2 linked regions of the Mus musculus genome follow. The protein of the gene in region 1 binds, or shares a complex with, the protein of each later gene. Links are inferred from orthologs where the notes say so. Each region holds a gene or a part of one and is shown in the gene's direction. Other genes may lie near its edges.

What was found. The genes of interacting proteins can lie anywhere in the genome.
Region 2: Lamtor5 (region 1) and Lamtor3 share a complex: the UniProt entries of both Homo sapiens proteins name them as parts of the ragulator complex. The link is inferred for Mus musculus from reciprocal best matches to the Homo sapiens genes LAMTOR5 and LAMTOR3.

What each region holds. Positions count from the first base shown.
Region 1 is NC_000069.6:107,280,115-107,286,930, forward strand, and holds the end of Lamtor5 (ragulator complex protein LAMTOR5), read left to right. Parts: intron 1-1,794; coding exon 1,795-1,912; intron 1,913-3,520; coding exon 3,521-3,581; 3' UTR 3,582-3,968; downstream 3,969-6,816. UniProt on the Homo sapiens protein: As part of the Ragulator complex it is involved in amino acid sensing and activation of mTORC1, a signaling complex promoting cell growth in response to growth factors, energy levels, and amino acids.
Region 2 is NC_000069.6:137,923,194-137,930,784, forward strand, and holds the end of Lamtor3 (ragulator complex protein LAMTOR3), read left to right. Parts: intron 1-1,918; coding exon 1,919-1,977; intron 1,978-3,615; coding exon 3,616-3,749; intron 3,750-4,153; coding exon 4,154-4,217; intron 4,218-4,753; coding exon 4,754-4,827; 3' UTR 4,828-5,569; downstream 5,570-7,591. UniProt on the Homo sapiens protein: As part of the Ragulator complex it is involved in amino acid sensing and activation of mTORC1, a signaling complex promoting cell growth in response to growth factors, energy levels, and amino acids.

The sequences.
Region 1 (6,816 bases):
TCCTACTAAAATGGTTTTGAATAAATTTTAAGTGGTCTAGAAAAGGGCTTTAGATAAGGACATCTTTACTGAATGCATTCCCTGTGCAGGCACAGTCAGGCTACACTATTTCCTTAATTGCCTCAATAACCCTGAAAATGGATGATGCTGGCTGCTAGTCCAGCCACTCTCAACAGTAAGTTATTGTCAGTAAAAATAGGGATTTCCTAGTTAGACACGTCTGACTTCAACCCCATTCTCCGATGCTGTCTGCTAGCAACATGAGTGCCGAACAGAAGGAGCCTCTTGGGGCTTCAGTTTCTTCATTGGGTTATTTTATTTCATACATACATTATGTGTGTGTTGTCTTAAGACATTTTTTTTTAAAAACTTATTCTACGTGGCCCTGGCTGTCCTGGAACAAACTTTGTAGACCATGCTGGCCTGTAACTCACAGAGATCTGCCTGCCTCTATCCCTTGAATGCTGGGAACAAAGGTGTGCATCACCATGCCCAGCCAGGCACTATTCTTAGTGTTTTCATTATAAAACGTACATAACCCCCCTTCCTGCCCCCCCCCCCCCACCAAAGCCCTTTATGGTCAAGAAATTTAGCAAGCTTAAAAGTACCTTGCCCAGGGTCAAACACCTAATGAATGGTTGAGATAGGATGTTTTTAAAGCTGGCTCCAAAGCTTAAAACACCCAGTACAGAACCAAGATGTGTTTGTGTGGTGTTCAATAAATTGTAGCAATTACAGATAAGGAACTAAGTCCAGAAAGGTAAATAGCTAAAGTTAATTAATGTCAGAAACTAGTAAACCCAAGAATCCTTATAACTGATGCAGGTTTTTTAGAGCTCTGATCTTTTGCTGGTATGATACCTGACAAAAGTAATATAGTTATGTCTTATACAAAAAGCAGCCATTTGGAACAAAGGTAAATTTTTTTGAAGCATTTGCCAAGTTACTAATGAAAACTCTTTAAATGCAAATGTGGAGGAAAAAAAAAAACTAAGTAAAACCTTCAAGGTGCGAAGTTGCTATTTCCAATAGATTTCCGGGCTGCACTTTGGCCTACGGATTTTTTATGTAGTAATAGTCAATCCAGAATTTCTGCCAGGTTATATTGTCTACTACCTTAGTTTTAGGTGTAAGTAAACCCCTTTATTTCAGGGATCTATAATAAGCTTGGTGGTTACCTTTTGTGCCTAGAGCCTGATTTAGTTAATACAAGTCAAAGTAATAGTAAAGACTCGGGGGACATTTGAAAGGAGCCCAGCTAGCTTCTGCTAGCAGAAATAGTTGCTCACAGGTCTTCACATATGCTGGCAAGGTGATCTTACAACTGGACTTCTGAGTAATGGCTGCTTCTTTGAGATTGAGCATAGGAAGAGAAACTCAGATTTCCCATAAGGAATTAATTAGCATCAACAAGCCCCTTATCCATACTGAATGCTTTTTGTCACTCTCGCCTTTGAATTTCTTGGTTTCAGCAAGGTTCCTATAAAATAGTTACTACCATCAGATGACTTGAATTACAGCTTCCTTATATGCTTGAGAAGGTGTTTAGAGATAGTGAGGGGAATAACTCTGAAAACTACATGTCGTTTACGACTTTGCTGATTTAAGAACAATTGCCAGGCTTTCTCACTAATGGACTCAGCTGAGTACCAGGTGAGAGAGATCCTTTCTTGTCAGTACTTAACCTAAAGGCAAAAAGGCCGTGAGCGGAGTTTCTTTTTCACAAATAATTCTGGAGGAGATACTAAACTATAGGTTTATATTAATTTTTAGACACTTCTCACTATTCTCTAGGCCGTGGTACCCTGTCGGATGAGCACGCTGGAGTCATATCTGTTCTAGCCCAGCAGGCAGCTAGGCTAACCTCTGACCCCACCGACATCCCTGTGGTATGTTTAGAATCAGATAATGGGTGAGTACATACCAGCACACCCCTTTCTTTTTGTTCTGAAAAACTTGATTGGGCTTTCCCCTGCATTCAGTGGTAGTTCATTAGTCAATGCACCACAGAGCCATTGGACATCCAGGCCTCATGAGAACAGAACTTCATTAAAATAAGAACTATCAGTTTGCCACTCCAATAAAGGAAAAACAGTAAAAACACAAAAAATGATTAGCTGCATAGAATTCCCTAAAGTAAGGTCTTAAAGATATTCCTAGATAAAGATCTTTATTCAGATGCTAAGTGATAAAAGGAAGAAAACAAAACTGTGGGGCTGGAGAAATGCCAGTGCTTAAGAGCCACAGTCCCGAGGATGAGAGCTTATATACTAGTACCCCAGCACCCACACAACAAACACCTGCAACCTCAGCCCTCAGTCAGGGGCGAGGGGGTGGGCAGAGATGGGAGGATTGTTGGAGCTGGCTGTCCTCCAGTGTAGCAGAGAAAATGAGGCTCAGGCTCAGGGATAAGACCACACATCAAAGGATAGTTGCACAGTAATAGAGGACACCCAGCACCTTCTTCTGACCTCCGTGCCTATACATAGGTGTGTGTACATGCACACACCTGTATGTGCACACCTGCACAGAGATAGAGTATGTGAACCTTTAAAAATGCATACTTTGGTCAGTTTGGGGCAAGGGAAAAAGAAGATATTAATATCGATATATGTATAAATATATACAAATTAAAATTAGAACCAGGAGCCAGCAAGATGGCTAAGCAAATAGACGTGCTTGCTGCCAAGTCTGATGACTGGAACTCCATACCTGGAACCCACATGACTGAGGAGACAAACACCCTGACGTTGTCATGCAAGCAGTGGCACACATACAGACCCCCAAAATAAGTAACATAAATAAGAATTAAGAGCTGGGGAGGCGGCTCAGTGGTTGAAAGCACATGGCACTCTCCCAGAGGACCTGTGTCAGTTCCCAGCACCCACATTTGGAAGTTCACAACCACTTATAACTCCAACTCCAGAGGAACCAACACCACTCGCTGGCCTTCTCAGGCACCAGTGTGTATAATGACACACACGGACAGACACATACATATATTTTTTAAAAATCTAATCTAAAAATTAGGACCAGGAAGGAGGCTAGGCTAGTGATAGCATGTGCAAGGCTCTAGATTCTAACTCCAACAATACCACCAAAACCTCCAGGAAAAAATAAAAATCAGAATCATGTTGAGTAGTAGGGTTAAGGATTACTTTTTAAAAATTTTTTTTAATTAAAAGGATTAATTTCTTTATGTTATAATTAGATTTGCCCACAATCCTCAACTGTTCATGCCCATCTGTGCTATTTATTTATTCATGTTTCTTAGCGGAAGACTTGGCTCTTGGTTTGAGAATGTAGTCCCCTTTCTGGGTGGGAAGTATGGAGAGGCTATGGCACTAGGGGTTGGTGACGGACACCTGTCAACAGGGACTGTTCATATTTGGTTTTGTATGAGAATATAGATAAATATGCTGTCATCTAAACATAAATATATTTAAACTAAATAAATTTAATCTTACACTGAGACACATGCATTAAGAGTTTGCTGAATATTTTCTTTTTGGCTTTTCAGGAACATTATGATCCAGAAACACGATGGCATCACAGTGGCTGTGCACAAAATGGCCTCTTGACATCTGATGTCAGCTCTCCAGTGGCCTCTCACCGGGATTCAGTCATGCCTGTCTCAGCTCATTTGTAAAACTATTAAAGTTCCAGAAATAGGCCATTCAGTTAATGTCCAATGTGGACTCCCTTATTTATATGACAGCCAGTTACCAAGACATCAGTTAGAGAGGAGCAATTGTTTGGGCTTTTGTCACTCTGCTCTTTGGTGACAGTCACTGTAGTCCAGGATCACAGCCCATCATGGCCTAGAACTATGTAGCCCAGGCTGACTTCAAATGTATGGTCTTCCTGCTTTAAACACATACATCCTGGAATTAAAGCATTTGTCACTAAGGTTTAGGTCACTTTGTATATAGAACTTCATTATGGCCAATAAACCTGTTCTGAGGAAAGTTTGGTTCATTTCTGGTCTTTTAAAATTCCTACTTAATGCTCACTTTTCTTTTTTCAGTTATCAAATTGTGGGTTTTTTGGTTTTTTTTTTTTTTTTTTTTTCTCTAAAAGATCTCTATCCCAAACTACTTGTTTCTCTTTCGGTGTCTTAAAATGTCTGTGTTCTTATGCAAGGGAAGATGGATCAAATATTTCCCTCAACCTAAGTGACAAAGGACATATCATTGAGTCCTTAGTAAGACCAGAAACTTATTTCTCATTATAAAATAGGATAGGTACTCCTGGTTGTTGTGTGTAACCAAAGCCTAGGGGCTAGCATGGTCACCATCAGAACTTAAGAACTTAACTGACAGAAGGCGTGTGTGCTTTGCTTTGTTTGGTTGGTTGGTTGATTTTTCTGAGACAGGGTTTCTCTGTGTAGCCCTGGCTGTCCTGGAATTTGGTAGACCACGTTAGCCTCAAACTCAGAGATCTGCCTATCTCTGCCTCCCAAGTGCTAGGAATAAAGATGTGCGCCACCACTACCCGACATGGACAGACTACATTTTTACCATCATCCAGACCATCGAAGAAATAGGCATGTTGGATAAAAAAAATTTTTATCATTTGAGATTAATAGTGGTCTTCAGCCTTCAGTGATTCTCAAGAGATACTGCACAGCAGATGACAAGGACTGTGTGCATGCTGTGTGTGAATTCACAGTGTGTGTGTTGAGATCAGAAGACAGCTTGTGGGAGTTTATTTTCTCCTACCAGGGGTTCTGGGGACCCAGCTCAGGTTGTTAAGCTTATACAGCAAGCACTTTTACCCACTGAGCCATCTTGCCAGTCCCATTTTGTCTATTTATTTATTCTACTGCTCTTTGGCATTTTAATATTTCCCTATTTTTAAAAAAAGTCTTAGAGAAAGGTGCTATTTACAGAAAAAGGATTTCGAGTAAGACACTTGAAGGCCTTAAGCTGGTACCTAAGAATGGTGTTATATAATGTCCTACTTTAGGCATAATATATATACCACTGTCAAACCTGTTCCGAAAGCATGACTTTGTCTTACATTCCAAGCATATAGTTCCTCATTCACAGAAGGCATTAACTAAGCACTTACTGAATACACAAGGATAAGGGGTTTGTGGTATAAACTGGGCCTCCAAGAATAGAATGGACGCAGTGAGTAAAGGTTTCTAGCAAGAGGAAAGCAAAGACAGGGAAAACCAGAAAGAGTATGTGCATAACAGCAAACGCTTTGGTCTGTGAGGCAGGAGGTGAAATAGCTGGAAATGTGAATCCTAGACCTAGCTGGGTAGTGGTGGTGCACTTACTCAGCCATCAGCTGAGAACAGCCCAATAGTGGTGGCAGGGGGCAGGCCAGTTCTCCAGCCCCCAAGCCACCGTGCCTGGCTTTTACAATTCAAACTTTAGTGAGGTTTTTGTATGCTAGAGATATACTGAGCAATTTATATGGTTTGGTTCACTTAACCATCTGTATATTAAACTGGGATCAGTTTAGAAAAGAATGGGTTCTATAAAATACAAAAAGCAACAGCAAACAGGAGAATAGGAACAAAAATTGCATTTTCTAGTCTGTCATAGAACAGAAAGAGGGTGACTGATTTCGATTTCAGATAAATTGAACTTGACAGGGCATCCTGTTGGTGATCATGCTCAGTAACATGGTGTAGGTGCTCACTGTGCGCCAGGCTTAGTTTCAAACTTTCAGGTACCTCCCCTTGCATTGTGAACAAAATTTAAAGTTCCTTCCGTGACCTGAGAGATCCAGCTCTGGCCCCCTGCTTGTGCCACATGCCATGCTATATCTGCTTATCTCAGAACCTCTCTCTTTAGCAGTGAAGCATTTTCTCATCTACTCACAGTAGCCATTTGAAGTAGGAAAAAATATATCCAATTTATTCATAGAACAAGACTTGTGCTGGGAAGACTGAAAGGCTAGATGTCTTGTGGTCTTTCTATTACTGTGACAAAACACCTATGGCCAGGGGAACTTAGAAAAGGAAGCCTTTAATTGGATTTACAGTTTCAGAGGGTTAGAGTTCATGATGGTGTAGCAAAAGCATGCTGGTCAGGAACAGCTCAGAGATCGTATCTTGATCCAAAAGCAGGAAGCAGAGAAAGGCACACTGGGAATGCCATGAGTCTTTGGAAACCTTAAAGCCTACACCCAGTGCACATCCCTTCAAGCACTGCTACATCTCCTGATCCTTTGCAAACAGCTCGGCCAACTGGGGGCCAAGGAGTCAAGCTTCTGAGTCTGGCAGGACATTCTCTGTCAAACCACACACTGGAGATAGGTAATTTTCTAGTCTGCACAGAACTAAAGCTGAAGTATGGTTGCATGGGGTTTCCCAAACCCCTGCCCTGATTTGATGTATTAACTTGACTGGACTATGAGATGCCAAGATACTTGAGTTGGGCCATTTCAGAATGTGTCTGGCCAAGGCCATTTGAATCAGTATCTTTATGAGCTTCCTGTAACCCACTGAGCCCCTGAGTAAACTAAAAACTCTGTTCATTCACCCCATTTGTTTGATTCTTTGCCCTGGGGTTCTGGCCCTCCATTCTTAGATTGACTGAAACTTACACCTCAGTTTTGGTGACCTCATTTGAATGGAACCCTACCATTGGCTCCCAGTCTGCAGTTTGTTTATTGCAGATGTTGGTCTTCTTAGCTTCTATAATTATACAAATCAGTTATAGTAAACCTTACTGTCGCCACGTCTACTGCCAATTGTTTCTGGCTCTGGGGAACATTTTTTCTTGAGGAAGCCAGGCAAATTCCTCAACGTACTGGATAGTTTTATGTCAACTTGACACAAGCTGAGGCCATCTGAAA
Region 2 (7,591 bases), about 31 Mb from region 1:
TGTCTCTTGTAGCCCAGCAATTGTTAGTAGTAAAATCTATGCAAACCACTCTTCGTTGTGTGTAGACTTGGAAACAACTTCTATATTTGTGACCTGATTTCTAAAAAGGAGTGCTTTAAGGCTGTAGCTATTCTGCATTGTTAGGCTTGTACCTCTGTGGATTTGTAATCCATTAAAAAGAACATTCTACTTTTTTACCGCCTTTGGTATATTAGCGACTATTTAAATTAATTACCGTGGAAATTAGAACTTACCTGTGCTATACAGATTTTTCTAACGTTTTTTATAATGTATTGAGCACCTGTCTTTTAATTTGTTTTTTTTTTTTTGTTTGTTTGTTTGTTTTTTCTGAGTAGACAATATACTTATAAACTTCAAGGTTGCAGAGCTCCCTGCGCCTGGGCTGCAGTCATGAGCTCCGCTGGGAGAAGCATCTGCTGTCAGAAGTCTTTATGTCCTGGCAACCAGGCACAGATAGGAGTATACTGTGTGCGCGTGACAGGCATCACATATGCGCACACAAAGCTTGCTTACAGTTTATAACATAGTTTGTTGCTTAAGGTACATTTTTCAAAACTGAAGTTTCTTTTTCACTTACTATGACTTTAAGAGGATAGAGAGATGGCTCGGTAGTTACGGGCACTTGCTGCTCTGTGAAAAACACAGATGGGTTCACGTCCTAGCACCCGTGCTGGGTAATCCACAGCCACCTCTGAGTCCAGTTTCCAGGAATTTGATGCTCTCTGCTGGCCTTGGAAGGTACCATCGTGCATGTCCATACACAAATAGGCACACAGATGGGGTTGGTTGGCTTGTTTGTTTTAAATTCATGAGCATATACATATTGGTGGGTAGAGACTTAAGGTGCAAGTGTAAGGACCGGAGTTTGGGTCCTCGGAACTCACATGAAGTCAGTGAGGTGTGGGGACAAGGGAATCCCTGGAAGCTCATGGCCAGCCTGTCGGAGAGACCCGAGGATGTCCTCTTACTTCCACGTGCAAACTGGGTCGTGGTCTCTGTCTCTGTGTGTGTGTCTGTCTGTCTCTCTGCGTCTGTCTCTCTGTGTGTGTCTGTCTGTCTGCATCTGTCTCTCTGTGTGTGTCTGTGTCTCCCTCCCCTCCTCTCTCTCTCACACACACATACACAGATACACATGCTTACACACATACTCTCTTTCACACACACACTTTGAAATCAGATCTGCTCAGTGCCTAAAAAACAGCCCCTCCTTTTCAGTTACTTGATGCCCTAATATTTAGCCAAGCCGCCACTTCCCCAGAGAAGTGTTCTCCCTACAGATCTTCTAATGGCACCTCCCATAGTAGTAATTTTACCTTAGTGTAAGATTATTTGCTTGATAATAACTCAACTACTACTCAACTTCAATTCTAAGATTGTAGAGTCAGTATCACATGATCAGGAAATACTAAGTGCCTTAAAATCTGAAAACCCAGTATCAGAAATCAGAAAGAGTGAGGGAAACAGACAAAGGTTCTTTAGTTTTTACCGTTGTCAGAGCTGAACCCTTTTCTGCTTCTATAAACCATGGAATGATAGAACATAAGCTTTACTCTTCAATAATTAACATACGTGTGGTAAATATCCTCAGCATCTCAGTGGTACACGTTAGGGAATTTCTAGACAAGTTTTTCTCAACACGCCTGGGAACATATTCTAACACACACACACACACACACACACGCATATGTTTTTCAGGAACATGCATGAAACAGTAGGGGACTTTGCTTCTTGGTGGTAGAGCTCTTGCTAGAGTGTGCAGCTCCCTGCGTTCCGTCTGCGGTGCTGGAGGAGGGGAAAAAGAAATGTCTATATGCGTGAGAAGTACCACCATGAGTCTGAGATACATATTTGTAGAAATCAAAGTAACTTTGTAATACTGAACTTTGTTTTCTTGTAGTGTTGAAGGGCTCCATGCAATTGTTGTGTCAGATAGAGACGGGGTGCCGGTTATTAAAGGTAAAGCTAACTGCATGCATATGGCACATTTACTTTTGACAAAAAATGTTTTATATTTAAATAATTAAAAATATAGACAGCTTATTTCAACAAACTAGAAAGACTGTTTTAGTTGTTCGAGGAAGTATATACGTTGTGTGTTGAGGACTTGGTGTAGAGCCTACAGTGAACTGCATGTCATCTGGACCATGTAACATCTAGCATCTGTGTGCATTTACCATAGTCCTGGTTATCCACTGAGGATGCTTATGGCATAATACAAATCATTAAACAAGTCTTTACTGTTGAAAGTGTGAGCAAGGCAGGCAGGCAGCCAACCCCTAAGCCACGGCACTAGCTCACACTGGTGGGTTTTTTGTTTTGTTTTGTTTTTTAAGATTTATTTATTTATATGCATTCATATATGTATTCATATACATATGAATATGAATGCACTGTTGCTGTCTTCCGACACACCAGAAGAGGGCATCCAATCCCATTACAGATGGTTGTGAGCCACCATGTGATTGCTGGGAATTGAACTCAGGACCTCTAGAAGAGCAGTCAGTGCTCTTACCTGCTGAGCCATCTCTCCAGCCCCACTGGTGGGTTTTAATCTTGTGGGGTTTTGCTTCTTTACTAGAAACATATTTTTTAAAACTTTAATGTCATTAGTTTAGTTGATCAGAATCTAAGAAGTTTCTAAAAATACATCTCTGTAAAGTCTTGAGACCTCTATGCATGCATACAATGTGTTTTGATCATATTCGGTTCCACCCCAAATCCACCAAACATGGTTTTGGCAGTCCTCAACTTTCTTTGGTGCACATTTGCTGTAACAGAGGTAGTGTGAGCTCAGCTTGTCTGCTGTTCGTATCTCCTGGCATCATCAAAGTGGACTTTGCTGGTTTCACTTACCAAAGATTAAAGATGAAATAGTGTCTTATGCATTTTATTTACAATTTCTTTTCCATATCAGGTAAATTTAGACATTAGGATTAAAACGTGCTTTGAGGTCACGTGGGTTATTTCTTCCAGTTTATCCATTAGCATGGTCAAGTGCAGAGAGGACACTGCCTGGGCAGAGCTGGGCATTGAGTTGGTGACAAGACATGATAAGAGTCCATTGACTGTGTGCCACCCACCACACAGCCACACCGTGTGGGCAGCTATGGCCAGCCACCTTCCTCTTCTCACCCCTAGAAAGAGGGCTCAGGTGATTCTCCAGCCCTCATGTTCTTTCCCAGAATGTCTGTGAACCACTGAACCTCCATACTTAGCTGATGCAGCTGCTACACTAGTCTAGCCTTAACGAGCGAGAGGAGCGTGAAGCTGGCAGCCAGCCATTGGGCTGTGGGTTTGTATGAGAGCAAAAGGCATTTTCCATCTGATTCTGTCTACACCAGAGCACTGTAGTATAGTACAGTGATGACTATAGTCTGAGATGGCCAGGATATTCATTCTGTTACATGTAAGGCAGCGTGTCGTCCCTGAGGGATTTATAGTCACAGACCTTCCGAGACCCAGCTAGCAGTAGGGTTTTCAACATGGCAAGTGTCCTGTTGTGCCTAGGCTTTTACTGGTTTGTGTTTTTTAAAACTTGCTGTTGAACTCTTCCCTCCATACTCTACATGACGTTTATGTAATCACTGATCGCAGTGGCTAACGACAGTGCCCCAGAGCACGCCCTGAGACCTGGCTTCCTATCCACGTTTGCCCTCGCAACAGACCAAGGCAGCAAACTCGGACTTTCAAAAAACAAAAGCATCATCTGCTACTATAACACCTACCAGGTCTGTATATTCCGTTTACAGCGACTGATGCACTTCTGATTTCACTACCATTTTTACATCTTTTGTATAAATTAGTTTTAGTATAAGTCTAGATTTTAGTGTCAGGGGGATAGAATTTTTAATAGTTAGCTCGAACTAATCTTTATTTTTAAGAAAGGGAATAATTATTATGGAAAAGTACTTAAAACTTTAAAAATAAAGAGCTTGTTATGCTATAAAGTATGTGTTAGATCATTGTTAACTCCAGTAGATGGTGCCGTTAGCTTACATAGCTGCGATTCTTCAACACAATTCCTCTGTTGTGACAGGTTAAAAAACAAACAAACAAAAAGCTTACCTTGAAAGTTGAATGATGAGCTGTTTGAATTTGTAGACTTGCAACATTACTACTTCTTTCCTTTTAGGTGGTTCAGTTCAATCGTTTGCCTCTGGTGGTGAGTTTCATAGCCAGCAGCAGTGCCAACACAGGTATGTTAGCAGGGCCACAGATGCCGCCTGGAATTCTTTATAGCGTTCTGCAGCGTGAGAGATTAGGACGGACAGAGCCTCAGCCCCATCTCTGTTTTCTCTTGAATTCTATTCCCAGTTCACATGCCTGCCTCCCTCCCCGGCCTCGTCCACCTCGACGGTGGCTTCCAGATGCTCTTGAGATGAGGCAAGACATTGGGGTTTGCGTAGAAACGTCAGCTCAGTGTTGCATTGCGTGTGCTGTTTGTGACTCCCATTGTAACAGCCTATGAAAAAAGGAAGGGCTACAGGACATAAACTGAACAGAATACATACAGGGCGCTGTATAAGTGTCATAATTCTCTACACCAACCAATTAAATTACAACGCTGAGACAAGTTGAATGTCATTGACAATTTAGAGATAATTTCATAGTTTCTTTTCTGTCGCTGTGGCGAACTACTCTGGCAAAAGCCACATGAGGAGAAAGGGTTCATTTCAGCCCAGAGTTCATATGAAAAATCTTCTAACATTCTAATTTTTTAACTCTTTTTTAGGACTAATTGTCAGCCTAGAAAAGGAGCTAGCTCCGTTATTTGAAGAACTGATAAAAGTTGTGGAAGTGTCTTAATCCAGCAGTGGTTCTGATGCACACCTGGGCCTCACTGCAGCAACCCTGGACCAGGCCAGCAACCTTCCGACCACAATAGTACTTGTAGCTATGTATTCAGAAGGCCGCTTTTCCACATTACACTAAAGAAGAGCCTATTGCTATAATTTATAGACAGATCAATTGTTATATTTATGTGTATAAAATCTTTTCTTACTTAGTGAGGTCTGAGAACACCACAGAAATGGTCATTCGATTGCAGCTCCCATGGAGTTAGTGCAGGCACCTGAAAGTGAGTGGTATCTGTCCAGAGCAGAGGGTCAGACCGGGACCGTGAGGCCCTTGAGCCAGCAGGCACACCTGCTGAACTCTGCTCCACTCCATAAGCCGCAGACCCTTTTACTGAGAATAATAATGAGGTCATATTTTTCTTCAGATTATATTTTATTTCTTTGCATTGTGAGGAAGATGAAATGGCTTAGTAAAAATAATTAAGTACAATCACTAACGCCCCTCTCTCTGTGTTCTCGGTGAGGATGAGTTACTAATGGATTTGATTCTTCAGGGTGCTGCTGTTCACTGAGAGCACAATCACTGCTTATGATGTCTCTCCGCTTTGCTGTAACCGTGCTTCCACCATTGTGTTCTTTGTACAATTGAAATGCATGTTACTGAGTTCTGTTTCCTTATCAGGATGTATATAAAATGACAGGATGGCCATTTTTTATACATGTGTATAAATAAAATAGTATTTTTAAAGGTACCGAATGAGCTCTGTATAGGCCTCTTTTTTGGACTTTGAAAAGTTTAATGGGCATAATTCTAACCTTCAGTCACATGAATAAGCCATGAATAGTTCATATAGGGATTGTATTGGAGACTGTGCCTAGTATAAACTGTCAAAAAGGAAGAAAAAAAAGAAAAGAAACCCTCCCTTGTGAGCCTGGCTGAATCTCCAGGAAAGAAGCGATCTCTGCTTATATGACTGAGAGGCTCAGGAGTAGATCAGCCATTCAAGCCCTGGCTGTCCCGGCACTTTGTCTCTGGAATGGTTCAGTCCCCATCCCTCCTGATGCATAGCTGTAGACACCATTGCCTGGGAATGTCTGCTCCGGACAGAGTGCTGGTGCTGTCCTTAGGTTCCGCACGAGCTGGTTGCCCGAGCACCCGCTGCTTTTCCTTCCCCTCATTTTCCAGTACAATCTGGGATGAGTGGTGAGTAGAGAAAGTGAGTGTGTGGTGCCCTGAGTTAGACACAGAAGGCCTCGGAGCCACAAACTGGGGCCACCTAAAGCAGGAGAAATCAAGCCGAGAGAATGTGTTATTGTCTTTAGGGAGCTATAAACTGTTAATGAACGATGAGATGCACCCACTAAGATAACAGAATTCTCATTGTCTGAGTTACCACATAACAATGTCTAGGAAATTGTTACTAGTGATGTGGCACATGAGACAGGAAGGTGACTCTACGTAACATAAAGCTAGAAAACTTAAGATTACACCTACTTAGTGTTGTGTGCGCATACACACGTGTACACATGTTGGGGTCAAAGGACAACTCAGGAGTCAGTTCTCTCCTGCGAAGTAGGTCTGGGGATTGGCCACACACACACAATAACAGTAAGTACAAATTTTAAAATACTTTAACAAACGGAATGAGATTCTTGAGGAGAAAGCTGTATGAGTTCTCGAGCAGATCAGCAGGGGTTATAAGTATGTGCCAAGGGACCAGCCTCGGCTTGGAGAAGGGGTCTGAGTTAAGGGGTGTCCGGGAGCAACGAAAACAACACTAAGTCAAATCGAGGGTCTGAGCTTTCCAGCTTTTTCCTCTCCTCTACATCTTCCTCTCTGATCTGCTTTCCTTGGAGATCTGCAGTTCTGCTTGAGAAAGTTCTCCAAGCAGTTCACTCTTGCTATTCTAAATTCCCTGGACAGCTCTTCTCCTGCAGATCATAAGCCCAGTCTTTTATTTTACATATTAATCCGGTCATTTACATCAGGTTTTCCTTTTGATTATCCTATGAGTCAGCATCCTGTGACCAGAGCCCCTTAGTTCTTAAAAAAACAGCAAGCACACATTTTCTAAAATTTTAACATTGCAACAGAATTTAGAGATATGCCTGCGTCTGTTAAGTAGACACTAAGCTAGCTGGGTGAGACCCTGTCCTGAAATTACCATTTCTAGCACACCTGGGCTTGGACTTGCTGCGTCCTAGGCTGACCTTGAACTCAGGAATCTGCCTGCCTTTGTATCTGACAAGCTGGCTCATAGTGTAGCTAGCTACCTCTGTTCCTTGAGATTTGTGAAGCCTCTCATATAATTCATATTGCATCCCTATTTTTTGCATCGTTGAGAAATTATATATTTTCAATCTCATGTTTTTAGAGTCCTTTTCCACAGCATTAAAGGCTGTCCTGAAGGTCCCAGCATTTAGTTTTGCTGAGACATTAGCCACAACTTCGTCTCCTGGACTCATACTGTCTCTGATTATCATGGGGTCGTTAACGTTAATAGGAAGGACATTGCTTAAAGGAGGAATGTAAAAAATGTACATTATTATACAAACAAGCCTTATGCCTATGGCAGCCATCCGAACTCTTGGAGCCTTTGTGCTGGCCCTGTCCCAGGGGCAGGAACCGAGTCATTCTGTCCCCATCAAGGTCTCGTCAGATGGCATGTATGCGTATTCGATATAGGGGAATGGTGTGAGATATTGGCACATGCAACTGTGGAGTAGCCCAGAGACAGAGACCATCTCCACTCAGTGCATTTTCCCTTGCGCCA